7 linked regions of the Oryctolagus cuniculus genome follow. The protein of the gene in region 1 interacts with the protein of each later gene in a pairwise test. Links are inferred from orthologs where the notes say so. Each region holds a gene or a part of one and is shown in the gene's direction. Other genes may lie near its edges.

The links.
Region 2: the proteins of DTNB (region 1) and MTUS2 interact in binary tests that used the Homo sapiens proteins (3 or more experiments, as listed by UniProt). The two-hybrid records come from large-scale screens. The link is inferred for Oryctolagus cuniculus from reciprocal best matches to the Homo sapiens genes DTNB and MTUS2.
Region 3: the proteins of DTNB (region 1) and DMD interact in binary tests that used the Homo sapiens proteins (3 or more experiments, as listed by UniProt). The link is inferred for Oryctolagus cuniculus from reciprocal best matches to the Homo sapiens genes DTNB and DMD.
Region 4: the proteins of DTNB (region 1) and PPFIA1 interact in binary tests that used the Homo sapiens proteins (3 or more experiments, as listed by UniProt). The link is inferred for Oryctolagus cuniculus from reciprocal best matches to the Homo sapiens genes DTNB and PPFIA1.
Region 5: the proteins of DTNB (region 1) and SPZ1 interact in binary tests that used the Homo sapiens proteins (3 or more experiments, as listed by UniProt). The two-hybrid records come from large-scale screens. The link is inferred for Oryctolagus cuniculus from reciprocal best matches to the Homo sapiens genes DTNB and SPZ1.
Region 6: the proteins of DTNB (region 1) and CCHCR1 interact in binary tests that used the Homo sapiens proteins (3 or more experiments, as listed by UniProt). The link is inferred for Oryctolagus cuniculus from reciprocal best matches to the Homo sapiens genes DTNB and CCHCR1.
Region 7: the proteins of DTNB (region 1) and BEGAIN interact in binary tests that used the Homo sapiens proteins (3 or more experiments, as listed by UniProt). The two-hybrid records come from large-scale screens. The link is inferred for Oryctolagus cuniculus from reciprocal best matches to the Homo sapiens genes DTNB and BEGAIN.

What each region holds. Positions count from the first base shown.
Region 1 is NC_091433.1:177,085,334-177,089,272, forward strand, and holds the start of DTNB (dystrobrevin beta), read left to right. Parts: upstream 1-1,139; 5' UTR 1,140-1,427; intron 1,428-3,939.
Region 2 is NC_091440.1:85,729,382-85,733,549, reverse strand, and holds the start of MTUS2 (microtubule-associated tumor suppressor candidate 2), read left to right. Parts: upstream 1-1,368; 5' UTR 1,369-1,469; intron 1,470-1,593; exon of another isoform or gene 1,594-1,749; intron 1,750-2,327; exon of another isoform or gene 2,328-2,465; intron 2,466-4,168. UniProt on the Homo sapiens protein: Binds microtubules. Together with MAPRE1 may target the microtubule depolymerase KIF2C to the plus-end of microtubules. May regulate the dynamics of microtubules at their growing distal tip.
Region 3 is NC_091453.1:19,808,245-19,812,532, reverse strand, and holds the start of DMD (dystrophin), read left to right. Parts: upstream 1-1,488; 5' UTR 1,489-2,274; coding exon 2,275-2,305; intron 2,306-4,288. UniProt on the Homo sapiens protein: Anchors the extracellular matrix to the cytoskeleton via F-actin. Ligand for dystroglycan.
Region 4 is NC_091432.1:2,222,457-2,226,528, forward strand, and holds the start of PPFIA1 (liprin-alpha-1), read left to right. Parts: upstream 1-1,272; 5' UTR 1,273-1,478; intron 1,479-2,207; exon of another isoform or gene 2,208-2,228; intron 2,229-2,423; coding exon 2,424-2,687; intron 2,688-4,072. UniProt on the Homo sapiens protein: May regulate the disassembly of focal adhesions. May localize receptor-like tyrosine phosphatases type 2A at specific sites on the plasma membrane, possibly regulating their interaction with the extracellular environment and their association with substrates.
Region 5 is NC_091445.1:3,906,572-3,910,118, forward strand, and holds SPZ1 (spermatogenic leucine zipper protein 1), read left to right. Parts: upstream 1-1,441; 5' UTR 1,442-1,653; coding exon 1,654-2,721; 3' UTR 2,722-3,047; downstream 3,048-3,547. UniProt on the Homo sapiens protein: Transcription factor that binds to the DNA sequence 5'-CANNTG-3'(E box) and the G-box motif. May play an important role in the regulation of cell proliferation and differentiation during spermatogenesis.
Region 6 is NC_091436.1:139,340,023-139,343,522, forward strand, and holds part of CCHCR1 (coiled-coil alpha-helical rod protein 1), read left to right. Parts: intron 1-966; coding exon 967-1,270; intron 1,271-3,500. UniProt on the Homo sapiens protein: May be a regulator of keratinocyte proliferation or differentiation.
Region 7 is NC_091451.1:44,178,888-44,181,307, reverse strand, and holds part of BEGAIN (brain-enriched guanylate kinase-associated protein), read left to right. Parts: intron 1-1,281; coding exon 1,282-1,365; intron 1,366-2,269; coding exon 2,270-2,420. UniProt on the Homo sapiens protein: May sustain the structure of the postsynaptic density (PSD).

The sequences.
Region 1 (3,939 bases):
TTCTCTTAAACCATCTGCTTTTAAAAAACATTTTGATTTATTTTAAATTTCTTTTTAATTTGAAAGGCAGCGATGGAGGGCACCTTCTGTTTCCTGGTTCACTCCCCAAATCCTGTAACAGCCAGGCCAGCCCCAACCCAGGAACGCCCTCTCCTGATTCCCACTTGAGTGGCGCGGACCCACGGACTCGGGCCCTGGTACTGCTGCCCAGGGTGCACGTCAGGGGGGAGGTGTAGGAGAGGGAGCTAAGACTTGGAGCAGGCACTCCCATCCACCGGCCAGCCCAGAGGGACCTTCAGGCTAGCTCACTTACTGAATTACCTTGGTTTCAGTGAATGAGCAAACACACCAAGCTGCATTTACATATTTATTTTTCGTGATTTACACATTTTTTTTTCTCCAAAGGAGGGAGCCAATGTTTCACCCTTTCAACGCCTACCACACTGTGAGTGCTCAGTAAAAACGAACAAACGGGCTGGTGTGATGGCACCGCGGGTACAGCCTCAGCCTGAGTCCCGGCTGCTCCACTTCCCATCCAGCTCTCTGCTGTGGCTTGGGAAAGCAGTGGAGGATGACCCAAGTCCTTGGGCCCCTGCACAAGCGTGGGAGACCTGGAAGAAGCTCCTGGCTCCTGCCTGGCCCAGCCCCAGCCCCTTGCGACCATCTGGGGAGTGAACCAGCGGGTGGAAGACTCTCTCTTGCTCTCTGCAACTTTCAAATAAATGCATCTTAAAAAAAAGAAAAAACTCCCACAGTTCTTTATGAACCCGGCGTTTGCGCTCGCGTCCCTTAGTTGCGGGTGGCCGGTCCCTTCGCGGCTGCAGAGGGAGGGGCGGGCGCCAGGCGAGCTCAGGGCGGCAGCGGAGACCCTCACACCACACGCCCTCTCCCGCCCCCTGCTCCACAGAGCTGCGACGCCTAGGATGCCCGTGCGCAGCAGCCAGCTCCGAGCCGCGGCCCCCAACCAGCCCCGCTCCAGTGCTCGCGCGCGCTCGCCGCTCGGTTCCGGACGGGGCGGGGCGGGGGCGGGAACTCGCCCCGCCCCCGCCCGCCCGCGCGGCGGAAGCCCCGCCTCCGCCCGCGCGCTCCCCGGCGGCGCGCGCCCGCCCCTGCGCCTCGCGCCCTCGCCCTCGCCCTCGCCCTCGCCCTCGCGCCGGGGGCGGGCTCGCTGCGCGTGCCGGGCAGGAGGCGGCGCGGGCCGGCGCGGAGGACGTCCGCCGCGGGGGCGGCTCCGGGGCCTGAACAGCAGCCGCCGCCGCCGCCGCTGCCGCAGTCTCAGGCGAGGGGGGCCGGGCAGGAGACGCGGAGGAGGCTGCGGCCGCGCGGGCCCTCGCCGACGCCCCCAGCTTCGAGCCAGGTGGGGAGCCCGCGGCGGCTGCGGCGGCCCGGCCGGGGAGGGGCGCTGAGGCGGGTGCCGGGCGAGGCAGGTGAGGCGGGCAGGCCCGGGCGGAGGGAGGCTTCCTCGCCGCTTCCCGCACGCCCTGCTCCCTGAGGCGCCTCGGCGAGAACCTGCCGGCCCGGGCCTGCGCGGGGGCTGCGGGCGCGACACAAAGCGGCGGGCGCCCCGCGCCCCGGGTCCGGACTGGTCGGAGCCGCGCGCGCGGCGGCTTGCGGAGTGCGGCGGGAAGGGCCGGGCGGCGCGCGGCGGGGCTGCGGGGGCATCCCGAGGGTCCCGCGTCGAGGGCAGGAGCGGGTCCGGCAGACTTGGGAAGAGAAAGGAAGTTCCCCTGCTTCCCGACGCGAGCGCAGACCCGCGGCCGCCCCCGACTCTGTCCGCCGAGGCAGCCCCGGGCGCTGGGTCGGGCCGGGGGCCGGGGGCAGGGGGCGTCCCCCGAGCGCTCGGTGTGGGCCCGGGCGCGTCCCCGGCGGCGGCGCGGGCTGGCGCGTGCTGGGGACTCGCCCTGGTCCTGGGACCTCGGCTGGGGGGTGGGGGTCCCTGCGGTCCCGCCCTCGGCCGCGGTTTGGACCCGTCACCTCCAGCCTGGTCTTTGGGCTCCCGGGTTGCAGAGCGGAGTTGCCCGGGAGGGGGTCGTGCCGGCGGGGGCTCGGCTCTTGGTGTCTGCTGTGCCGCGCACAGGATTTCTGCTCACGGTGGGAAATGAGACTTCGAACCAATAGAATTTCAACTTGCCTTTTAATTTGCGTCTTTGCTTGTTTCCTTATATAAAAAATAGGGTGGTCAGCCTTGCAGAGGGCTCCCTCTTTTTCCTGGAGGGCCTTTGAACTTAAGGGGCAGCCGGCAGGTGTCGGCGAGTTCTTGTTTTGGGGCGCCTCATTTCTGCAATTCTGGGCACCTTCTTCCAGACTTTCCTGACTGTATCTTATCTTATGGATGCATTTATTTTAAAATTAACTTTGCCGATGTACAGTTTGCATATATATGATAAAAGGCGCATTCTTCGTGTACACTTGGATATTTGGAAAACCATAGGCACTTTGTAGCCGCTGTCCCGGGCAAGGTATGGAAATTTCCAGCTCCCCGGAGAGTTGCCTCCTGCGGCTCTGCAGCCCCTCCCTCCCCCTTTTCCCTTACTTCTGATTACACAAGCGCGGAGCCTCGGCGTCTGCTTGTGCCAGCTGCGTGCTGCCAGGCTTCGGGCTGCGGTTCCCGTGCAGGCAGCCCCCGCAGTGTGTGCCGCGCGTGGGGTGCTGTGGCTGGGACGCACACCTGCACAGGCGGAATAGGAGGCCCCCGGCGAGTCCTTTCTCCACAGAGCCCACTGTCTGGTGTGGTTCTTCCAGATCTTTCTCTGCGTTTTCACGCACACACGGGCACTACAGAGAACATGCGCTCTCTCCCCTGCCCTAATGACATCCTGGTGCTCCCGTCGTTTTGCGACTTGTTTTCCACTGAGAGCATGTTTTTGAGACTTTCCCATGGTGGAGTGTTAGGGGTCTTCTGAGTGTCTCCATGGCCTCGTGTCTTCCCGCTTGCCTTCGGGTCTTGCACAGAAGTGCAATTTATTAATCGTTTTTGCGTCAGTGACCGTTGTGGCTGTGAATGAAAGAGAAATGCTGGGTCGCAGGGGTCCACATTTCAGATGGCAGTGGATGGAGGTTTACCAGGCTGCTGCTCCGGACTGTGGCCCGTTGATTTCTCGCTGCTCTGTGTAGTGTGAAGTCAGTCTGTGCCCTTCTTTCACCAGGAACACTTAGGCTGCTTTGGATTGGAACCTTTGGCCGATGCATCCTGCTTGGCTTTCCCTTTCCAGGCGTTTTAAGTTTTAATGTGATATTCATGGAGGATTTCCTTTAAATGGCTTGTCTTTTGAGTGTGTGGGTCTAGTTTAAGAAACCTTTCTCTGCCTCAGAGTATGAATTGTGTATTCCTGTATTTTCTTCTAAGAGTTTTAAAAAGTTTCGCTTTTCAAATGGAATCTATTTCTATGTGGGGTATAATGTTGAAACATAATTTGCTTTCCAGTTTGGCTAACCAGCTTTTCTGTACCTTTTCCTTTTTTTTTTTTTTTTAATTCAAAGATTTATTTCTTTGTTTGAGAGGCAGAATTATAGAGAGGCAGAGGCAGAGAGAGAGGTCTTCCATCTGCTGGTTCACTCCTCTGGTGGCAGCAACGGCCGGAACTGTGCCGATCTGAAGGTAGGAGCTAGGAGCTTCTTCTGAGTCTCCCACACAGGTGCAGGGGCCCAAGGACTTGGGCCATCTTGTACTGCTTTCCCAGGCCACAGCAGAGAGCTGGATCAGAAGTGGAGCAGCTGGGACTCAAACCAGAGCCCATATGGGATGCCAGCACTGCAGGTGGCAGCTTTACCTGCCACACCATAGTGCTAGCCCCTCCATTTTTTATGACAAAAAAATCTACATAAACCTCACCATTTCTTTTTCTTTTTCTTTTTTTTTTTTGACAGGCAGAATGGACAGAGAGAGAGACAGAGAGAAAGGTCTTCCTTTGCCGTTGGTTCACCCTCCAATTGCCGCCG
Region 2 (4,168 bases), on another chromosome or scaffold:
TCAAAAAAGGATTTATTTATTTGAAAAGCAGAATTACAGAGAGGCAGAGGAGAGAGAGAGAGAGAGAGAGAGAGAGAGAGAGAGAGAGAGATGTCTTCCATCTTCTGGTTCACTCCCCAAATGGCCACAATGGCCAGAGCTGAGCTTATCCAAAGCCAGGATCCAGGAGGTTCTTCCAGGTCTCCCATGCGGGTACAGGGGCCCAAGGACTTAGGCCATCTTCCACTGCTTTACCAGGCCATAGCAGAGAGCTGGACTGGAAGAGGAGCAGCCGTGTCTCAAACTGGCACTCATATGGGATACCAGCACCGCAGGCGGCAGCTTTACTTGCTATGCCATGGGGCTGGTCCCCTCCATGAGCTTTTTAAGGACTACTGATACAGCCTCCTGTACTATTCCATCCTTCAGATGTGCTAATTGTAAATAAACTCAAACTGTATTCCCCATGTAGTAATTAGGAAGTGATGCATCTGGGGTGTTTATTAACTTTATATATATATATATACACACACACACACACACACACACATAACTGTAGGCTTCTATAATTTCATCTTGAATGATGCTGGGGAGGGGGTGGCAGGAGGGGAGTGGGGAAGGCTTTAAGAGGAATGAAATTACAGTTTCAATTTGGATTGGATTGCATTTTTTTAATACCAGCGAATCAGACTGTTTATTAACACCCAAAAGTGCCAGGAAAAGCTATCAAATCTGCCCTAGATTCTTCCCGAGAAGGGAGATCAGATAGAACCGTTTAAAAAAAGGCAGTGGTGTGGAGAAAAAAAAAGGTGCTATTTCATGGTTTCCCTTGACCAAGCAGTACAGTTTGTTAAAAAAAGATTGAACTAGTATAAAATATTGCTTCAAGTTTTAAAATAGCCACTCCCTAAAAGACTGTAAACCAAGCTAAACGGAGCCAGGACCAACACCATCCGTTCATCTTCATCATGGCAAATCCTCATCAACTTGGTCTCACTTCCTCCCCTGGGGGCGTCTCCCCGCGCCCCCTCCCCGCTGGCCAGAGCTGGAGCCGGACGCCCTCGCGCGCGCGTAAGCGCGGGGCGGCCGGCAGAGGGCGCTGCGGCTCCCCGGCGGCGGGGCTGCGGCCGGCGGCTCCGGGCGAGGGGCGCGGGCCGGGAGGAGGCGCCCGGGGCTCGGCGTGTGCGTCTCCGGGCGGCCGGGAGGGGGTGCGCGCCTCTGCCGCCCCGTGCCACCCCTCCAGCGCGGGCCTCTCGCGCCCGGCCGCTGTCACCGCGCCGGCACCTCGCGGGCGAGGCTCGCGGGCTGCGCTGCGCGCTCGGAGGCCCCGCAGCTTCTCTTTGTCCGGGCGAGGCGGCCGGAGGAGCGGCCGCTGAGGCGGGGAGCGCCCGGGCGTCGTGCGGGCGGCGCGGGGTTCCTCAGCCGCCCGCCGCCCGCCGCCCGGCTGCGCTCGGAGCGGGAGCGGCGGCCCGGGTGGTGCCTGCGGCGAGGTGAGTGCGGGGACGCGGAGCCGGCGGGGGCGGGCGGGGGCGGCTGGGGCGCCTGCGGGTGCGGGGGCGCCGCCTCTCCCGGCAAGTTTGCCGGCTGTCTTTTGCGGCAATCCGTGGCCGGTCGGCGGAGTCCAGACCTGTCAGTAAATCGGAAACTCCAGCTGGGGCGAGGGAGAAAGAGGAGAAGGACGCGTGTTGGAAACGGGGTGGTCGGGATGGCAGTGTCCCGGAGGGACAGCGGTGGGCTTTCGGACTTGGTTCCGGGCTCTATCCGACCCAGGTGAGCGATTCCCGCCCTGCGCAGGGCGCGGCGGGTGGCTCCGGGCGGCTGGGAGACAGGTGCGCGCGCGGAGCCGGCTGCGGGCTGCGCCACTCTCTCGGCCTCTCCAGCGTCCCAGCGCCGTTCCCTCCCGCCCGCCTGCCTCACCTGCTCCGCGGCTCCCTCGGCATCTCCGCCAGGTGCAGCGCGCTGCGTTTCGGAGGCGCTGCTGGGGTAGTTGGAGCGATTCCTCCCCATCCACCCTCGGCTTTGGATAATTTGGTCTGTGCCTTCGTCTTAATTTAGTACGGATGTGTTATTTCCTTCCAGCGTTCTAATGGGGGAGCAGGGACGCGGCTCGCTACGTCTCCCCCCACCCCCCTGTCTCATTCTGAGCAGAAGGAATCGCAGGCATACAAGTGATGTTACTACCGTTCTATTTTAAATACAAACACGGGAAGAACTCTTGCAGCATACCAGAGGCGCCTGTACTCTGTTATATAAGTGCTTTAAAAAAAATCGCCTCGTATTGGTGAAGTTCCGAGTGGATAGCAAAGCAGCTAAGAGAGTGTGGAGGTGGCAGAACCTGCTCATCTCTGCTGTCGACCAAAACTTTGCTTCACGGTAAACGCTGGGCTTTTCAGATGCCACGCAGGAAAAAAACCTCGGAAACCTCACTGGGTAGAATTGCAAAGCGTTTAAGAAAACAGATTTTGTCAGCTCTGTGCTGGACATCGGTGAGCACTGTGTGACCACTTACGGGGGTCTGGGGAGGTCACAGGTATCCGTTAACGACTTTCACTTATTGAATGGTTTTATTTTGATCTCTGATGGAAACCTAGTAATTGTTGAGTTGCCAGTTATCAAAGGCGTCCCAGACACGAAACAGAACCCCCACCCACGCGCATTCATGGTTATTTATTTATTTTTGGGTGAGGAGAAGAGGAAAGAAGAAAAGGATCAGAGGTACTGTGTTAAGGGCCCCTTAGTCCGCACCCCCCCACACCTGCTGTAATTGGTTTGGGGAGATACCCTGGCGTCTGCATTGTTAGTGGTGATTCTGATCCCTAGCCAGAGATGGGACCCATTGGAAAGCATTCTGTGAGTTTGCTGCTTTGTAACTTAAGCCATTCTCTGGTGGTTTAATAAGGTAGGTCAAAAATACATGGGGTTAGAAATACCGGAAGAGAATGACAATAGGAGATTTTTCCAGGAATTCCAGTCCCTGCTGAGACTGGTTGATATCTATCAGGGACCCATCGCTCTGCCTCCTGTGCTGAGCTGGGTGCTAAGTGGTACCCTGGCTCGTGCAGAGGTGGAAGTGAAAGTTGAGTTACTACACAAATTATGCTTTTATGTTTATGTGAGAAAGGAACCACATCTTATTAAGGGTTATTCTCATTCAGGCTTCTCCCCCTCAAATCAAAAACTTATGTTGATATAGATGAGTAAATTCCATGCAGAAAGCTTTTTATGATATTTCAGGTCTGAAATCAACCTGACTGCTGAATCAGTGCTTCTTTCTGCCTTATGTAACTCCCAGGATCCACATCGGAGAACAGCTCTCGTGGGTGGTTTATGAAGGCTTATATAAGAGCTACGACTGTGCTTTTGGTTCTCTCTTAAACTCCCTGTTTGGGCTGTTACATAATTGACTGGGAACTAGGCTGGTAAAGCCCGAATCGGGGGAGGATGCACAAGCCCCGTTCTGCACATGCACTTTTATAATGAATTGCTGCTGCTGAATTAGAGGGAACAGCAGGGATGGTGGTTTGTGAAAGGGAGATAAGAATAGCATCTCGGGGATTGATGTAATAGAGGACTGTTATGTTGAGCGATTTTCTGGAGGTTTGCATGCTGTGGTGGAACCTCTGGTCTGTTGTCTCTCTCAGCAGAGGCGGATTGCCGGGGAGGCTGATGACTCTTAAGCTCCAGGCTTCTTCAGAGCCCCTGGGAGGGGCCCTAGCACTGTGTTTGCAGGGTCACACCTGAGTTTGCAATTGTAAGTTTGGGTTGTTTTTAAACAGATAGGATGCTCTTTCTACCCTTACACACACACACCACCACTATATAAACCCTAAGATTGCACAAACCTGACTCTGCCTCCAGCTGCAGGTTGTGTCCAACTGTTAGCTCATAAAAGTGCCTATTCTTATTTTCCTTCTTGTCATCCTATGCAATGATACAATAAAAGCAATCTGGCCAGTATTGTAGCTGACTTGCTGCAAAAATGCACATTGCTAGAACATAGGTCTATGGGGAGCTATTGAAATCAGGTGGTTGGGGCCGGCTCCGTGGCTCACTTTGTTAATCCTCTGCCTGTGGCGCTGGCATCCCATATGGGCACCCGGTTGCTCCTCTTCCAGTCCAACTCTCTGCTGTGGCCTGGGAGGGCAGTGGAGAATGGCCCAAGTTCTTGGGCCCCTGCACCCGCATGGGA
Region 3 (4,288 bases), on another chromosome or scaffold:
TTCTCTGCCAGTAGTTCAAAACAGGAACTTGAGCAAGCTCCTTGACCAGTCATCTTTATAATGGAGCTCCTAAGACCTAACTGATTTCATTATTGTGATGAGTAAATGAGAGAAATAAATGACAAAAGCCACAGAAAATAGTGACAAGGTCTGTACAGGAGTTCACTGTATTTGGGTTAAATGTTTTCTTATATGCCTTTCTCTTTAAAACCTTAAGGAAGGTATATGTATTCCACACTATGCAGAAGTTATTACAGATGCCAAATAAATTCTGATTACTGAATAAGAATAAAAGATAGTTAAAATGTATCAGGCATTCAAAAGCTTTCTTTACCCAGGGCACATTTTTGGTATATTTGGAACTACAGTTATTTTTAGAAACATATGCTTCAGGGTTTCTCAAAGTTGATGAAGCATTAGAGTCACCTGTAAGACACAGAGTGTTGGCTCATACACCAACAGTTTCTGATTTTCCGGGACTTGGGTATACTTGCTTTCTTTAAAGTTCACATGTGATACAGAATAGCCTAGTTTGTGAACTCAAGAACTATACATATGCCTTGTCTAAACATGAGTTTATAGAAAACTCAAAGTACAAGATGTAAAAGAACTTATACTCTGGACAACATTGTCCGTGAAAGTTCAGGGAGATACTTATGCTAATGAGCAGATATGAATCCAAATCAGCCCCAAAACATTTTTTTTCATTTTGTTTTAAGAAACTTTTGCTTATATGCATATCTCTACACTAAGGAGAGAAAATGAGATGGCCCATGGAAATGGTGTTTTTAATCTATTTTTAATCATAGTGATTTACATAAAATTACCTACAATTAAAATTAGACTTCATGTTTTACTTTATATAGAATTTGACAGGCAAAATGGCAGTATTATAATGATGGCATCCTAAATATAAAATTTATAATTGACTATTAATATAAACATTATTGTCTGATTCAATGTGTCATTTTTATATTTATCCTTTATTTATTTCTGTGCCAAGCAATTGAAAGCTTGACATAGAAAAATGAGTCTGTCACTTTAACAAATGGTACTATAAAAACACTCAAACAAATAGTTTTAGTAGGGATTATTATGATAGCAACACGAATATTTTTCTAGAAAGTGTTACCAATGTTTCCTATAAATGTTGGGCTCAGTTGATAAATAAAAATAGTAAGGAAGAAGATGAAGTCTTCCTTTGGCAGTGAATGATTTACAAACATGCTGGATGACACATTGTATTGGATACAGGCAAAAAAAAGGCTCTGTTGAGAAGCATTAAGTGATCATTAGTTAAATGCGTAAGAGAATGATGTTTTAATAATTTGCACCAAAGAAATTTAACAAGGAGTCATTTGTTAGTAAAGAATTCTTATCATAACCACAATTAAAATGCAGCATTTTAAAAGCGGTTTTGTTCCCTTCTAAGTGCTCTTTATTTTAGCAGAAAACTTGTTCCATGAGACTAACACACATTCTGCCTTCAGAACTTAGCTGCTACATTCTGCTGTTGCTTCTCTTATTCAGACTGTTGCAATCATCCATATACAACTTTTGATTGGATCCTGATGGTAAAAATTAACTTTGGTAGACAGTGGATACATAATGAATGCATAGATCATTCTGGGCATACCGTTGTATTCAGTAGAGTGAAGTTTTGGGGGTTCTTGGAGGGGAGAAAGAAAATCATTTAAAAGTTCATTCTGGATCAGAATTTTCAGCTCTGTTGTTTTAGAAATTTATGTAATGTTCTAGAAAATATTGTTATGGTTTGTTACTGAAGGCTTTTTGTCTTCAGAAGGCTTTGAGAGCAAGTACTTTATCCACTGTGCTATTCTGGTTGGATACTGATCACAACACAGTTGAGCATTATTTGAATTCACTGGGCTTTCCATGCTGGGAGCACAACCTTATATGTAGTGTCCATGGGCAGTCCTATTATGGGAAACCAACTTGAGAGAAAAGGCGGGTCACTTGCTTGTGCGCAGGTCCTGGAATGTGAAATATCCAAGGGCCTCTACAGAATCCTGGCATCAGTTACTGCGTTGACTCACTCAGTGTTGGGATCACTCACTTTCTCCTTACAGACTCAGAACTTGGAGGCAATTGCCTTCAGAGAAAAACAAATAGGAAAAACTGAAGTGTTATTTTTTTTGAAAGCTGCTGAAGTTTATTGGCTTCTCGTCATTCCTAAGCCTACTGGAGCAATAAAGTTTGAAGAAATTTTTACCAAGATTTTTATCACAGCCTTGATATATACTTTTTTTCCAAATGCTTTGGTGGGAAGAAGTAGAGGACTGTTGTAAGTACAAAGTAACTAAAAATATCTCTTACTGTGGTGTAACTTTTTGTTTGTGATAATCTCAATGATTAAGCAGGTTGATTTTAAATTATGGCAGCTGCTCGTGAATAATCTTAAATGTTCTATATACTGTATATATATGTATATATACTAAGGTGTATGTACTTCCCATTGGGAAAACTTTCAATAAGAAATGAGGTATATTTGGGTTTTTTTCAATATAGGCAAAAACATCTTTCTTCTTTAAGAAATCACTAGATTAACAGAAAATGTATAACAGGTCTGGAGTATTAGTACAGAGCAGTTGATTTCTGTGAAATAGTTTCTATATATATGAGTTATTATTTTGATTATTTAATACTTGTGTATTTAGTGGTGGTTCCATGTAGAGTAGTGACCTGACATATATTCTCAGTGAATTAACTGCTTTGTTGGAATGATATACAGGCCTAAAGATTAGAATAATGTTATGTGGCATACCTTGGTGGGGGGACAAAGAACAAAATTGCGTTGTGATGGATAAATGACAGATGCGAAAATATTGATAAAGGTTTAATTTCCTTTCTCACATTATATTTAGTGTTTTGAATTCTTTTTTATAGCATGAGAGATTTTTTTTTTTTTCAAATAAGTATGTGATCTACACTGGCAAATGACCAGTCTCTTGATGAGAAAACAACATAAAAACTTGAGGGATGTCTCATCATATTTTGTAGAAAACTGATCGTGTTGTTTCATGACTGTTGTGACCAACTAATTCAGTAAATATTTTTATTAACTTCTTAAAAAAAGAAACTATTTTGTTTATGTTTAAGAAAGTCATGATGACTAATGAAGAATTTAAAAATTAACTATGGCACAACAGTAAAAATGATATATAAGGACACTGTGTCCCAAAGAGGTGGTTGAAGGAGATTATCTTTTTCTTTTCCTGCCTTGACATGTGAATTATGGTCATTCTGAAATAGATATGAAGGTAATGTCTATAATTAACAATGAAAGATTAAATCTCTCCAAATAAGTAATAATATATCACAACTTCTACAAAAAGAGTCAGAAGTTTTGCCACAGAAAATTTGTGAAGTAAATAAGCACCATTCATTTCTTAATTCACATTAGATGGTACTAGATTTCATTAATATGACTTTTTTCATATTGTGTCCTTCAAAAATTTCTGTGGTGAGCATCAGCATCACTTCCTGATTGAAAAACTATTCCATCTAGTAGCATTACAAAAATACACATAGCTACACATGTATACAAATGCATATTTCCCTTGCTATTTCTAGTTCTTTCATATCATTAATCTATCAATATTGTCAAACTTATGATTGATTATCTATAGCTAATAAAATTAAAATACACCAATACATAGAGATATTTGGAAAGTATCACAAATATGCAATTCTGGAATGAAGTAAGATAAATCTATACTCTTCTTTGTCATAGATATTCAAATAACTTTTTAATACATTAGAATTTGAAAAGTTGACCTTAAAAAAAATGCTCCAAAAGGAGCATTTTAAAAACAGCAAGTAATACCTTTGCAACCTGACAATGAGTTTAAGAGAAAATAGAAATATTATCAGGGTTATATTATACATTAATTTTTCTATTTGACAACATGCTATTATTTGAGTGTTTAAACATTTGAATCCACGTTGTAAAATTGCCTTAGTATGAAAAACTTAAAAGAGCACATTTGATTGCTTTTTGACCAAAGTAATGGCCCTTTAAGAATATCACTGTAGTAATACACATATTGTTTGCTTTTAGAATTACTCAAATAATCCATTGGAAACAACTGCTCAAATAATTAATTGCAAATAGACATTTCATTTGAATTTTTAAATGATGCAAAGCATCATGAGATGTAATAAAATCACCTTTTAAAATTTCATTTGCAAAGCCCTCTTAGGGCATTTAACTATGAAAAAGAGGTTGCTGAACTGAATTGATAACATAGTTTTTAAGATAATAATC
Region 4 (4,072 bases), on another chromosome or scaffold:
GGCAAACACGGGCTGGGTGCGCTGAGCCGCTGACCCTCAGGAGAGCTGCAAATCAGTGATCCAGACCCTGGTTCGGAGAACCGGGCACCCCTGCACCCCTGCAGAATCGCAGACCTAAGTGGTGGTTTTTTTTTTTTTTTTTTTTTTTTTTGTACAATTTTAACATGGCAAAGAGCTGGGGCAGAGATGCAGATTCGGGTTCGTGTGTGGTCCCTGGTCACCCAGTGCTTGTTCTAGGTGGTCTGACCCATGGAGATTCGAGGGATCACCTGGAGGGTTCGGGTGCGGCTCCTGGCTGCACACCAGCACCCAGAGGCCAGTGGGGCCGCAGCCGCTGCCCTATCGTTTTGGTTTATGAAGACCTTGCGCTCTCTGCGCCCGACCGTGCAGGGGGCGGGCACGCGTGCGTTCCTGAACGCTGGGACCCGCCACTTTTGCGTGGGATGTGGCACGCGGCAGGCGCTTTTTTAGGCGCTTGCGGAAAGGGTGACTGGTCACGCACGACTCGCAGGAGGGCTTCCCCTGCCCGGTTCCGCACCTGCTGGGCTCTCAAAGGCCCGGCCCCCGAGGGCAGCTCGGAGGTGCCTCCCACGGCGCAGGTCCTGCATCCCGGAGCTGTCCAGGGACAGGAGCGGCCGGTGGCTGAACCAGCCGTGCCTGCGAAGCCTGCACGTCCCCGCACGGCGCCCGTGAGCCTCGAAATCCGACGCTGCTGGTCTTGGCCGCCCCAGGTGCGGCATGTAGCGTCGGAACGTGGGTCTGGCGGGGCCGCCGCGTCCCGCCCGCCCTGTAAGGATCCGCCCGGGGCCGCTCCGGGACCGACGCGGCGGGGTCCGGGCCCGGCTGTCAGCGGGCGTCGGAGGTCGCGGTTCGCTCTCACGCAAGGTGGCGAGTAGCAGCGCCAGCCCCGGGAGCGGAGCGCCGACGTGACGTCCGGGGAGCTCTGGCTCGGGACCTGGCACACCGCCGGCGCGGGGGCAAAGGCCTCCCGCGCTCGCACGGCTGCGGGAGACTCGGGGGCAGCACGCAGGCGGAAGCTACAGCGGCCACCTGGCTCCGCGGCTCCCACCTGTGGCTCCGCCCGGGGACCCGTGTGGGCGGGGCGGGGCGGGGCGGAGCCTCCGCAACGCCCAGCCAATCGGCGCCCTAGCGGCCCCGCCCACTGCCTCCCGAGGCCGCGGCGCCTGCGCACTCGCGGCCGCGGCGCCCCGGGGCCCCTCCCCCGGGGCGGTGCTGACGCTCGCGCCGACGCGCCGGACGTCGGGCACGTTGACGCCGGCGACGCGCAGCCGGGCCCGCTCCTCCTGCGCTCCGCCAGTGTCCGGCCGCTGGCCGGCCTTCGTGACGGGCGGCGGGCCGCGGGGCCGCGGCGTGGGGCGGGCGGGCGCGAGCTGCCCGCGGCTGCCTTCGTCGGCCCCTGAGCTCGCCCGCAGCGAGCCGCCGCGGAGCCTCGTCGCCCGCTGCCGCCGGCCAGCAAGGTGAGGAGCGGGGGGCTGAGGCGGGCGCGGGGCCCGGGGCGCCCGGCGCCGGCCGGGCCGTCCCCGCGGACGGAGTGTCACCTGGGGGGCCGGGACGCCGCGGGGGCGCGGCTGGGGGCGCGGCCCTCGGCGGGGAGCCCCCACCCAGCTCGGCGCCCCGCTGCTCCCCGGGGGGCTCAGCCCTGGGGGCCGCGCGCTGACCGCGGCGCCGTGGTGACCCCAGCGCCGGGGGCAGGGGCGAGGACCTGTGGCCACGGCGGGCGGGCCTTGTCCCAGGGGCTCCGAGCACCCCCGGGTGCTGGGGCTTGTGCGGCACCTGACGCGGGAGGGGACGGAGGTGCGAGCGGTTGGCGGTGGCCGGCGCCCGCCAGGTGCGCGGCGCTGGGCTGCTGGCTCTCGGGGGTCGCGGTGCCCCGGCAGCCTCCGGAGCGGTGCCCGGCCTTTCCGCCGGAGACACCTAATAGCCTCTGGTCAGCTCGCCTTTCACTTTTCCTGGCTTCCTCGCTGGCCGTCCCGCGTGGAATTTCCACCCCCGCCTCCCCCAGGTTTATTTTTTTTGGGCTGTAAACTGACGTAAGCGAGGTTGACTGACCAACCACGGCAGCCGCGGAGAAACACCTCTGCCCGCCCTCCCCGGACCCGGTTCCCAGGTGCAGCCCGGCATTCGCGAGCCGACCGCACGCGTTCCCGTGCGATGCCCCCTCTCTGCCCTTCCTGCCCCGGCCCCGAGCCGGGCGGCAGGAAAGTCAGGTACCAGAAGCACGCGGAGAGAGCGGAGCCTTGCGGGCACAGCACCCCGCGGGCCGCTCTGGGTCCGCTCTGGGTCCTCGCTGGTCGCGGCCCCGGGCGTCTCTGCCGACCCCCTGCAAGCAGGCAGGACTGGGAGTGGGGACAGCCGGGTGCAGGTGTGTGCCCCGGATGACCGGGCTGCTGCCTGTCTTGCAGATGATGTGTGAGGTGATGCCGACCATCAGTGAGGCAGAAGGCCCCCCGGGAGGCAGCGGGAGCCATGGGGCCGGCTCCCCGGCCCAGCCCGACGCCGACTCGCACTTCGAGCAGCTGATGGTGTCCATGCTGGAAGAGAGGGACCGTCTTCTGGACACGCTGAGAGAGACCCAGGAGACGCTGGCGCTGACGCAGGGCAAGCTGCACGAGGTCGGCCACGAGAGGGACTCTCTGCAGAGGCAGCTCAACACCGCGCTGCCGCAGGTGAGGGCGCCCTGCGGCGCGGCTCCGGGCCGCTGTGGCCATGGCGCGGCGCGGCTCCGGGCCGCTGTGGCCATGGCGTGGCGCGGCGCGGCTCCGGGCCGCTGTGGCCATGGCGTGGCGCGGCGCGGCTCCGGGCCGCTGTGGCCATGGCGCGGCGCGGCTCCGGGCGGCTGTGGCCGCGGCTGCTGACGGTTGTGCTTGCCGCAGCGTTGCTCGGGGCCAGCTCCTCGGGACAGCAGCCGCGCCCTGCCTTTCCGCGCTCGGGCCTGGCGTGGCCAGCGCCCTCCGTCCTCCCGTCTCGCTCGGGCCTGGTGTGGACAGTGCCCTCCGTCCTCCCGTCTCCGGGTCTGACGTGGACAGCGCCCTCTGTCCTCGGGCCTGGGTGTGGGCAGCCCTCTCCGTCCTCCCATGTTGCTCGGGCCTGGCGTGGGCAGCCCTCTCCGTCTGCCGTCTCTGGGCTTTCCATGCAGAGTGTGAATTTCCTGCGGATTCTGTCCCACCGACCTGCAGTTCCCCTGAGGCGTCTGGTAGACAGACAGCTGGGCTTTGCCCTGGACTGGACAGCTGTGTTTTGTGGGTCAGGTTTGTTTCAGGAGCTGGGAGACTGGAGGTTGACCCCAGGGGAACTTGAAACAGCTGAGGCTGTTTGACCTCTCAGGGCGTGTCCTGCGGAGCTGAGTGGGGTTCAGTGGTAGGGGAAGGAGACGAGGGCGGGTGGGCCGCCCAGAGCACAGTGGGGATGCGTGGTTGCTGGGGGTCCGCGAGCTGTCTGCATGCCGCGTTCCTTATCCATAGAGGTGCCTTCGCGGTGGCTCCAGGGCGCTCTGACGAGTGAGCAGGTGCAGGACTGCTGCCCCGGTGCCCTTCTCGGCCGTCCTCGGCCGTCCTGAACACGACGAGCAGACATTCAGAGTTCCTTTTTAGCCATCGCAACTCGATGTTAGTGGTTTGTTGTGCGTTAGAGAATTCATTAAGATTTTTCTCTTTCAAGTCTTATAAACTACCAACTTTGTTTAGGTCAGATTTTAATGCCAAAAACGTCAAAGAATTGGCCGGCCCGTGTTGTGCGGGATTTTACTGTACGTGCTTGTAGGTCTTTTCCGCAGTTTCGTGTTTTGGTCATGGATACGGCACCCACGACAGTGCGTCCGACACGCGGGTGTTTGATGAGGTAGTTACCGGGTGGGGGCACGCAGGAGAGCAGGCCGGTGGCAGTGTGTGGCACACGGAGCCTCCGCGGGCGGCGGCGCCCGGGATCTTTCTGGAGAGGCCTGGTTGGCTGAAGGTGACGCCGCCGGTTCACGTCAGCGCCTGATTGCAGCACCGCCGAAAGCAGCCAGGGGACTTGTTTTGTTCCTTCTCTCTTCCTGGAATCTGGCTGGGCT
Region 5 (3,547 bases), on another chromosome or scaffold:
TACTGGGAGCCAGACCAGCGCTCTGATGGGTGCTGGCCTTGCAGGCAGCGACTCAACGTGCGGTGCCACAGCAGCCGCCCCACACGTGCAGCTTTTTGATGATGTTGGATGCAAATCTAATATAATCCTTCATGTGAAACGATTTTTTGAGATGTATTTATTTTAAAGGCAGTGTTACAGAAAGAGAAGGAGGGAGGGAGGGAGGGAGGGAGGGAGGGAGAGAGAGAGAGAGATCTTCCATTCACTGGTTCATTCCCCAAATGGCCACAACAGCCAGGGCTGGGCCAGATGGAAGCCAAGCGCTTCTTGAGGGTTTCCCACGTGGGTGCAGGGGCTCCAAGCTCTTAGGCCAGCTTCTACCACTTTCCCAGGCCCATTATCAGGGAGCTGGATTGGAAGTGGAGCAGCTAGGACTTGAACTGGGGCCTGTATGGGACCCTGGCTCTTCAGGTGGCAGTTTAACCAGCTGTACCACAGTGCAGGCCCTGGAACTTTATAGAAATTTATTTACTTGAAAAGCAGAGAGACAGAAACAGATGGATGGCCGGCGCCGTGGCTCAATAGGCTAATCCTCCACCTTGCGGCGCCGGCACACCGGGTTCTAGTCCCGGTTGGGGCGCCGGATTCTGTCCCGGTTGCCCCCCTTCCAGGCCAGCTCTCTGCTATGGCCAGGGAGTGCAGTGGAGGATGGCCCAGGTGCTTGGGCCCTGCACCCCATGGGAGACCAGGAAAAGCACTTGTCTCCTGGCTCCTGCCAGGATCAGCGCGGTGCGCCGGCTGCAGCGGCGGCCATTGGAGGGTGAACCAACGGCAAAGGAAGACCTTTCTCTCTGTCTCTCTCTCTCACTGTCCACTCTGCCTGTAAAAAAAAAAAAAAAAAAAAAAAAAAAAAAAAAAGAAACAGATGGAGATCTTGCGTTTGCTGGTTCACTCCCCAAATGCCCACCACAGCCAGGGCTGGACTAGGCCTTCGTCCGGATCTCCATGTGGGTGGCAGGAAGCCTAGTACTGGAGCCATCACCTCCTGCCTCCCAGTGTGTGCATTAGCAGGGAGCTGGAATACGGCACAGAACCAGTCGCTGACTCCTGCCTGGATTCAACAGGGGCGGTGAACATCCCAATTAGCTTCTCAGCACTGTGCCTGGAGTACCTGCGACCCACATCAGAGAGCCAGTGGGCTGCGGTGTGGGGCAGGATGGGTGTGAGCTAAGGCAGGCCCCTTGCACGCTCAGGATGAGATGCCCCCAAGCCTAGACGAGCAAGGAAGGCAGGGAGAGTGGTGGAGCCCTTTCTTTCAACAGCTCGCGGTTGATTCTGATGCCCGAGTCAGTGGGCAGGACTTAAAGAGGCTTCCATTGTGACAAAAGGTGACGGAAGCTGGGGCCAGGCCACAATGGTGCCATGACAGAATAAAGACTCGGTTGCTAGGGTCAGGGAATAAAGAGGGGCAGGCTGGTGGAGGGGAGGTGGGGCCCTAGCGCTCAGCCCCCAGCTCCCCGACCCTCCCCGTCCCCTTAACCATCTGCGATGTCACCTTCCACCTGGACACCACCCCTCCAGGTCCAGGCTTGACTCTGGTCTCCACGCACTGCACAGGGGCCGCCACCCTCCCCTTCCTGGGATCTCCAAGGATTCTGCTCTCCCCCAGCGCCCATGGCCAGCACAGATGGCGCCGCTCAGAAGCCCATCCCCTCCCCACCCCTGAAACCCACCCCTCGTCCTCACCCGGAGTCTTCAGACTCCAACGTCACCGTGGCCTTGATCGAAATCGGCTCCCTGCCCGCCTTCAGCTGGGGGCCGAAGGTCACAGATGAGCAGGACACGCCGAGGTTTGAAAGGCTCCTGAAGGAAATTAAAGACGTCCTCAAAGGGGTGGTGAGCTGTGAAGACAAGATCACCGAAGCCGAGGAAAGCAGGATTTCCAAGGATGTGTCAGAACTTAAAGAAAAAATCCGAGGACTTGACAAGATGAATAAAATACTGCTGAGAAGCCTGCTTGTCACCCTGAACCCAGAGAAGGGGCAGAAGGCAGTGAGAGCAGGGCTGGCGCTGGAAGCCCAGAGCTCGGACGGCCCTGCACGGCCCGGGCGAGACGCGGCAGCCCGCCCGGAGGAGCAGAGGGCCCCGGGCAAGACGGCAGAGCCTGCGCCCCAGGCTCCGGGGGAAGCTGCCAGGCTCCGGCGCGGCTTGGAGCAGCTTCTCCAGGAGGCCGAGCACTGGAGCCGGCAGCAGACGGAGCTCAGCGAGCTGATCAGATCCTGCCAGGTGGCTCAGAAGGACCCGAGGGACACTCTGGACAACAGTGGCGGCGATGTCCAACGCCAGGCAAGCGGGGCCGTGGCAGCCAAGCGTGAGCTGGAGGAACAAGCCAGGAAGCTCGGCCGCGACACCTACGCCTTGCACGTGGTCGCAGCTCTGCTGGAAAACGAATGCCAAATCCTACAGCAGAGAGTGGAGATTCTGCGGGAGTTCCACCACCGCCAGCAGGGGACCCTGCCGGAGAGGCCTGTTCCCATCATCCCCCAGCACCGGCAGAAGAATCAGAAGGCGTGGGAGGCGGAGAAAGTTGTGCCCTCTGAGCAGGGGACGTTTCAGAAGAAAGCCAGAGCCTACAGAAGCCTGGACGTGTGTCTCAGTAAGAAAGCACGGAACAACCGCTTCAACAGGCGTATTGCAAGGGCTCTTACGGGAAAAAAGAGGCCAATCAGTAGCCCAAGGTAGAAAATAGGAAGACACAAGAAAAGGTGACTCCTTGAAAATCCACATCCGCTATGTCCAGCTTCAGGCATAATCAGTCATCCACCTAGGATGGATGGCTCGACCGAGAGGCTTGTAGAACAAGACACACACGTGTCTGATCCAGGACCCCAGTACCAACGCAACGGAATGGGACCACTGTGTCAACACCAAGTTCATGACTTTTCGCCTGGACCGTCTGCTTGGGTTTTATGGTTATAAGATCGAGATCCTATAACTCTTTACCCGAAAGTGAAAAGTTAAAGGCCCAATTAAGTGAAGCTGTAAATAAAACCAGACTGCAAAAGACAGCGATTTTTTTCTTTAATCATTTTCTGGGGGGAGGGAAGTTTGGGCGGCAGGGGGTGGGGGGAGGGTGTATTTAATGCTGTAATTGTGATTTTTATTTTATTTCAAAGTCAGAATTACAGAGAGAAAGGGAGAGACAAAATGGTTCTTTTACCCATTGGTACACCCCCTAGATGTTTGCAACGCACAGGGCTGGGCTAGGCCAAACCCAGGAGCCAGGAGCTTTATCTGGGTCTCCCAAATGGGTGGCAGGGGTCCCAACACTTGGGCCATCGTCAGCTGCTTTTCCCAGGCGATTAACAGGGAGCGAGATCAGAAGTGGGGAAGCCAGGACTCAAACTGGCACCCATATGGGATGCCAGCATCACAGGCGGCAGCTTTACCGGCTACACCACAATGCCAGCTCGAATCGTGATGCTTTAAAACTACCTTTCTCAATATATGTTTCCTTTTCCTAGTACTCACTGAAGTGGGCAAGGCAATGCAGTAAGATACCGGCAAG
Region 6 (3,500 bases), on another chromosome or scaffold:
AGCTGCCTCAGGAGCCCTGTTGGAAGCTTTTTTTTTTTTTAATTTATTTGACAGGTAGAGTTATAGACACAGAGAGAGACAGAGAGAAAGGTCTTCCTTCCATTGGTTCACTCCCCAAATGGCTGCTACGGCCAGTGCTGTGCTGATCCGAAGCCAGGAGCCAGGTGCTTCCTCCTGGTCTCCCATGTGGGTGCAGGGCCCAAGCACTTGGGCCATTCTCCATGCCCTCCCGGGTCACATCAGAGAGCTGAACTGGAAGAGGAGCAACTGGGACTAGAACCAGCACCCATATGGGATGCCGGTGCCACAGGCGGAGGATTAACCAAGTGAGCCATGCGCCAGCCCCCTGGAAGCTGGTTTAAGTTTTCGTGACTCCTGTAGGCCATGCAAACTTTTTTGCAACAAAATGAACTTACCTTTTAATACCCCCCCTTTTTTTTTCATGAACTGCTTGAGCTGTTCTCATATTACGAAAAGATCTGGACCGTGTTGTTCACTAATGTGCTAACCCCTCAGGCCCTCAAACAGCAGAGCGTACCTGACCCTCAATGCCTGTAGTGCGGCCTTGCCTTGTCGGGACTGGAAGCTTCCCATCTTTCTCCCCCTGTGCTTGTCTCCCACTCTTCCTTCTCAGGTCAGAATTCAGCAGTCTCTGTGTGTGTTTTCCAGCCTCTGTGCAGAGCGAGTGACCTCATGCTATGCACACTTGCTGGTGAATACTCCTGCCTGCGATACCTCTCACTGGCGTTTAGGTCCCATGAGCCCAGGCTGAACCTTTTGTGCTTCGCAGGGCCGGGATGACTGTCAATGATGATGGGAACCTGGAGAGCTCGATGCCCCAAGCCTCATCCCCCTCTTCCCTCGCAGGAGCAGATTGGTCCTCTTCCTCCTCCTGTCTCTGTGTGTGCCCTCGCTACCCTCCCAGCACCAGGGACGCATCTCACCTGCGCCAACTTATCTTTGAAGGTCCCTGGAACTGGCAGGGTCGCAGGCCCTGAGCCAGCAGGCCGAGCTCATCTCTCGGCAGCTGCAGGATCTGCGGCGGCTGGAGGAGGAGGTGCGGACGTTGCGGGAGACCTCGCTGCAGCAGAAGATGAGGCTGGAAGCCCAGGCCATGGAGCTGGAGGCGCTGGCTCGGGCAGAGAAGGCCGGCCGGGCTGAGGCCGAGGGCCTGCGGGCCGCCTTGGCCGGGGCTGAGGTCGTCCGGAAGAACCTGGAAGAGGGAAGCCAGCGGGAACTGGAGGAGGTTCAGAGGCTGCACCAAGAACAGGTGAATCCTGGGGCGGGAAGGGTTCGGTCTCACAGCAGGGTCGCAGTAGCTCCCTGGCAGAGGGCAGATGTCAAAGAGACCTCCATGAACCATGAACAGTGAGGTCTTGGGTGCTGGAGAAAGACACGGGTGGCGTGGAAAGAAAACTTGGGTGTCTCCCCCGGGACTCAGATGACACCCCCCCGCCCAGTGCAGGAAGCCCCCCTTCCTCTTCGGAAGCAAGTAACCCACCTCCTTCCTTAACTGCAGGTGCCCAGTTCACGTGGGAGCATTGGGGGGGGGGACAGTGAGGAGGGTTACTCAGTCATTTCTCAGTGCTTGGTCATCACCATCCTAGTGAGCAAATCTGAGTCCTGGCCCTCGTGGATGGAACCTACGGCCAAGTGGGGGACACGCAGGGTCCACATTCAATGTGGTCATTATTTATTAATTACAGATGGAAGAAGTGCCTTGGAGGGGAGCCCTGACTTAGTCTAGGGGTGAGGGCGGGCCACCGTGATGAGCCACAGATGTCACGAATGAAACCACAGAGGCACTGGAAGAGAAGTTGGTGGGTTCCCTTACAGCCGTGGAGTGGGTAGAGCCCCCCTGCCTGTGCGTGACTCGAGCTGCAGGCAACTGGTGCGGGGGTCGAGTTGTCCGTGAGGACGCTGTGCCCCATACCCGGGTGCCTGGCTGCCTCGCCCTCGGACCCCTGACTTCAGCTTCTTGCTCATGCAGATGGGAGGCAGCAGGTGACGATGGCTCAAGTGGCTGCTTCCAGCCCCTCCGGTGGGGGACTTGGATCGAGTCTCCGGCTACTGGCTTTGATCCCCCAGCTGTTGTGGGCATTTGGGGAGTGAAGTAGCAGATGGTAGCTCTGGCTCACTTGCTCGCTCTCGCTCGCTCTCTCTCTCTCTGCCTCTCAAAGAAATAAAAATAAAGTAAAAATAACTATATTTTCTAAAAAATCTGGAAGCCATGAAAGCAGATGTTGATAATTGAGTTTGTGGTGTTGGTGCCAGGAGTGACGCAGAGTTAGAGTGAGTGAGAAACCAGGGAAGCGCACTTCCAGCGCACATCCCAGGAGGAGACCAACACCCTGAGATACAGTGTGTGCCCAGGAATCAACAGAGAAGGCCACGGCCCCGGCAGAAAACAAAGGACATAGGCAGGTCGTAGGAGTGTGAGAACAGCCTTTTGCTTCGTGAGAGGCGCAGTAAGAAGCAGCTGATGTTTGCTTAGCACGAGTTGGCTGGTGAAGGGGCGCGTGGGCTGGCGAGGGGAGCTGGGGCACTCCGGAGGGCAGCTGTGGGGCCCGGGATGCTGGAGGCCGAGGGGCTTGAGTACAGGAGATGAGGGACCCTGGGTGGCACCGCAGAGCTCCCGGCGTTCAGACCAGTTCAGAACTTTATGGGTTTTTTTTTGTTTATTTGTTTTGACAGGCAGAGTTAGATAGTGAGAGAGACAGAAAGAAAGGTCTTCCTTCCGTTGGTGCACCCCCAAATGGCCGCTACGGCTGGCGCGCTGCTCCAATCCGAAGCCAGGAGCCAGGTGCTTCCTCCTGGTCTCCCATGAGGGTGCAGGGCCCAAGCACTTGGGCCATCCTCCAATGCCCTCCCGGGCCACAGCAGAGAGCTGGACTGGAAGAGGAGCAGCCAGGACTAGAACCTGGCACCCATATGGGATGTCGGCACCACAGGCGGAGGATTAACCAAGTGAGCCATGGCACCGGCCCCAGAAATTTATGTTTTTAAAGATTTATTTATTTATAGGTTTGAAAAGCAGAGTGATAAAGAGAGGGAGAGACACACAGAGAGATTGTCCATCTGTCGGTTCACTCCTTAAATGATTATAACAGCCAGGACTGGGACTAGCTGAAACCAGGAGCCCAGAACTATATCTGGGTCTCCCACGTGGGTGGCAGGGGCCCGAGTACTTGGATCATCATCTACTGCCTGCCCAGGTGCCTTTGCGGGAAGCTAGATTAGAAGCAGAGCATCTGGGGCTTGAACCAACGCTCTGGTATGGGTTGCCAGTGTCACAAGCAGCTGCTTAACCACGCTGCCCCGTAATGCTGGCCCAGAACTCTGTGGCACAGCAGGTTACACCGCCACCTGATATGCAAGCACCCCATACAGGCTGGTTTGTGTCCTGGCTGCTCCACTTCCAACCCAGCTCCCTGCTAATGACCTGGGTAAGCAGTGGAAGATGGCCCAAGTATTTGGGTCTCTGCCATCCACAGGGAGAC
Region 7 (2,420 bases), on another chromosome or scaffold:
GGCGCAGGGTGGTGTGGCTAAGCTCACGGGGGGGCAGGGTGGTGTGGCTAAGCTCACGGGGGCGCAGGGTGGTGTGGCTAAGCTCACGGGGGCGCAGGGTGGTGTGGCTAAGCTCACGGGGGGGCAGGGTGGTGTGGCTCAGCCTGCGGGGGGGCAGGGTGGTGTGGCTCAGCTCACGGGGGCGCAGGGTGGTGTGGCTCAGCCCGCGGGGGGGGGGCAGGGTGGTGTGGCTAAGCTCACAGGGGGGCAGGGTGGTGTGGCTCAGCCCACGGGGGCGCAGGGTGGTGTGGCTCAGCCCACGGGGGTGCAGGGTGGTGTGGCTCAGCCCACGGGGGTGCAGGGTGGTGTGGCTAAGCTCACGGGGGCGCAGGGTGGTGTGGCTCAGCCCACGGGGGTGCAGGGTGGTGTGGCTCAGCCCACGGGGGGGCAGGGTGGTGTGGCTCAGCCCACGGGGGGGCAGGGTGGTGTGGCTAAGCCCACGGGGGGGCAGGGTGGTGTGGCTAAGCTCACAGGGGGGGGCAGGGTGGTGTGGCTAAGCTCACGGGGGGGCAGGCTGGTGTGGCTCAGCCCACGGGGGTCTTGGGGTCTGGGGTCCTGGAGGTTGGTGCCAAGGGGGCAGAGGAAGGGGAGCGTGGGTCCCTGGCCAGCTGGCCGTGGGCGGAGCGTGGCCACGTCACCACGAATGCTGGTGGCCTGGTGGCTCATGGGGTCTGCGGGCGGGACCCCAGGCCTGGGGGCTCCTGGGCGGGTGGGAAGGGAAGATCCAGCCACAGGCACATGCAACAGAGATTTCCAGAGACCAACGTAAACCCTTGCATTCCTACTGTTTGCATCTGTTTTCCGCTCAGGAGGCTGAGCCAGTCCCCGCCAGGACCTGGGGGTCACTCACCTGCCCCAGCCCCTGCCCAGCCACGCAGCCAGCTCTGTGGCCAGGACACGCTGAGAAAGGGGCACACGTGGCGGGCCCGAGATACGCCCGGCACTGGAGGGCTCTGGCAGGCTGGGGCCAGGGAGACCAGGCCCCCGTTCCACCACCGTGCCCTGTCCCCCCGTAACGGGTTCCCACCTCTGCAGGGCCCACGGGCCCCCGCGTGGGGCGGCTGCAGCCCTGCCTACCCCCAGCAGCTCCAGGTCAGGGTAAGGCCCGTTCTGCAGGCGAGAGCGTGAAGCAGCCGGGGCGGACGGAGCCCCCGCCAGCCCGCGGCCCCGCCAGCCCGCGGCCCCGCCGGAGGGCCCCTCGGTGCGGGCGGGCCGCGCCCAACGCCGTCTCTTGTCTTTTAGGAGCTCTATAGGAAGGACTGCAATCTAGCGGCCCAGCTGCTGCAGTGCAGCCAGACCTACGGCGGGGTCCATAAGGTGTCCGAGGTAACGTGGGCCCCGCCCCGCAGCCAGGCCCCGCCCCCGCCCCACCCGCGGCCGTCCCTGCCCTTGAGGAGGAAGCTGCTGGGTGAGCCTGGGCCCCTCAGCCCCTCCTGGACCCGCCTGCCACACGGCCCAGAGGCCGGGCTGCCCGGTGCCCCCCTTTTCCAGGGGCTGAGCCCAGGCTCCGCCCCCCGTCCTCCAGGGTACACCTCACAGCAGCCCACGATCGGCAGTGTCCGACTCAGAGACAGGAAAGCTGCCTTCAGCAAGGGGGCTTTGGCCACGGCCGTGGGGTGAACAGGCAGCAGAGGCAGGGCTCCGACCAGGCAGAGCCCCCCACCCGCGTGTGGCAGCCTACACAGGCCCTAGACGCCCACCCCTACAGGCAGGCTCCCTCCTGGGCCTCATCTGCATCCCCCGCCCTGGGCCTCGGCCACACCTAAGACACGCACAAAATAGATCAAACAGTAGTGGGACGGCCCCCCTCCCCGCACCGTGGCCAGGCCCTGGTGCGGAGGCCGTGGGGCGCCTGGCCCTGGCCCGTCGATCTTTGTTGCATGTGTTTCTGAGTCTGTCTCGTTCCGGGCACCCGGGCAGTGTGCCTGGGGCCGGGGCGCCAGCAGAGCCCACAGGCCTGGGGGAGGAGCCGAGCGCCCGTGGGGCAGGCCGGCGGGCAGGCTTCCGGCTCGTCTGGCCCGTGGCAGCCTCTGGGCTCTGCTGGGCCCCGCTGGCGTGGGGCGGGGTGGGTGGAAGTGTCCGGCGGGCCCCCGCAAGGGCTGCCACTGTGTGAAGTGAGAAGCCCGGGCGGGTCCCGTCCGTCCGTCTGTCCGTCTGTCGTGTGGGTCACGTCCGTCACCGTGGTCCTCGGCCGCGCGCTGACTGCGACTCCTGCTCGCGCCCGTTCCAGCTGCCCTCGGACTTCCAGGAGCGCGTGAGCCTGCACCTGGAGAAACACGGCTGCAGCCTGCCCGCCCCGCTCTGCCACCCGGCCTACGCCGACAGCGTCCCCACCTGCGTCATCGCCAAGGTGCTGGAGAAGCCCGACCCCGCCGCCCTCT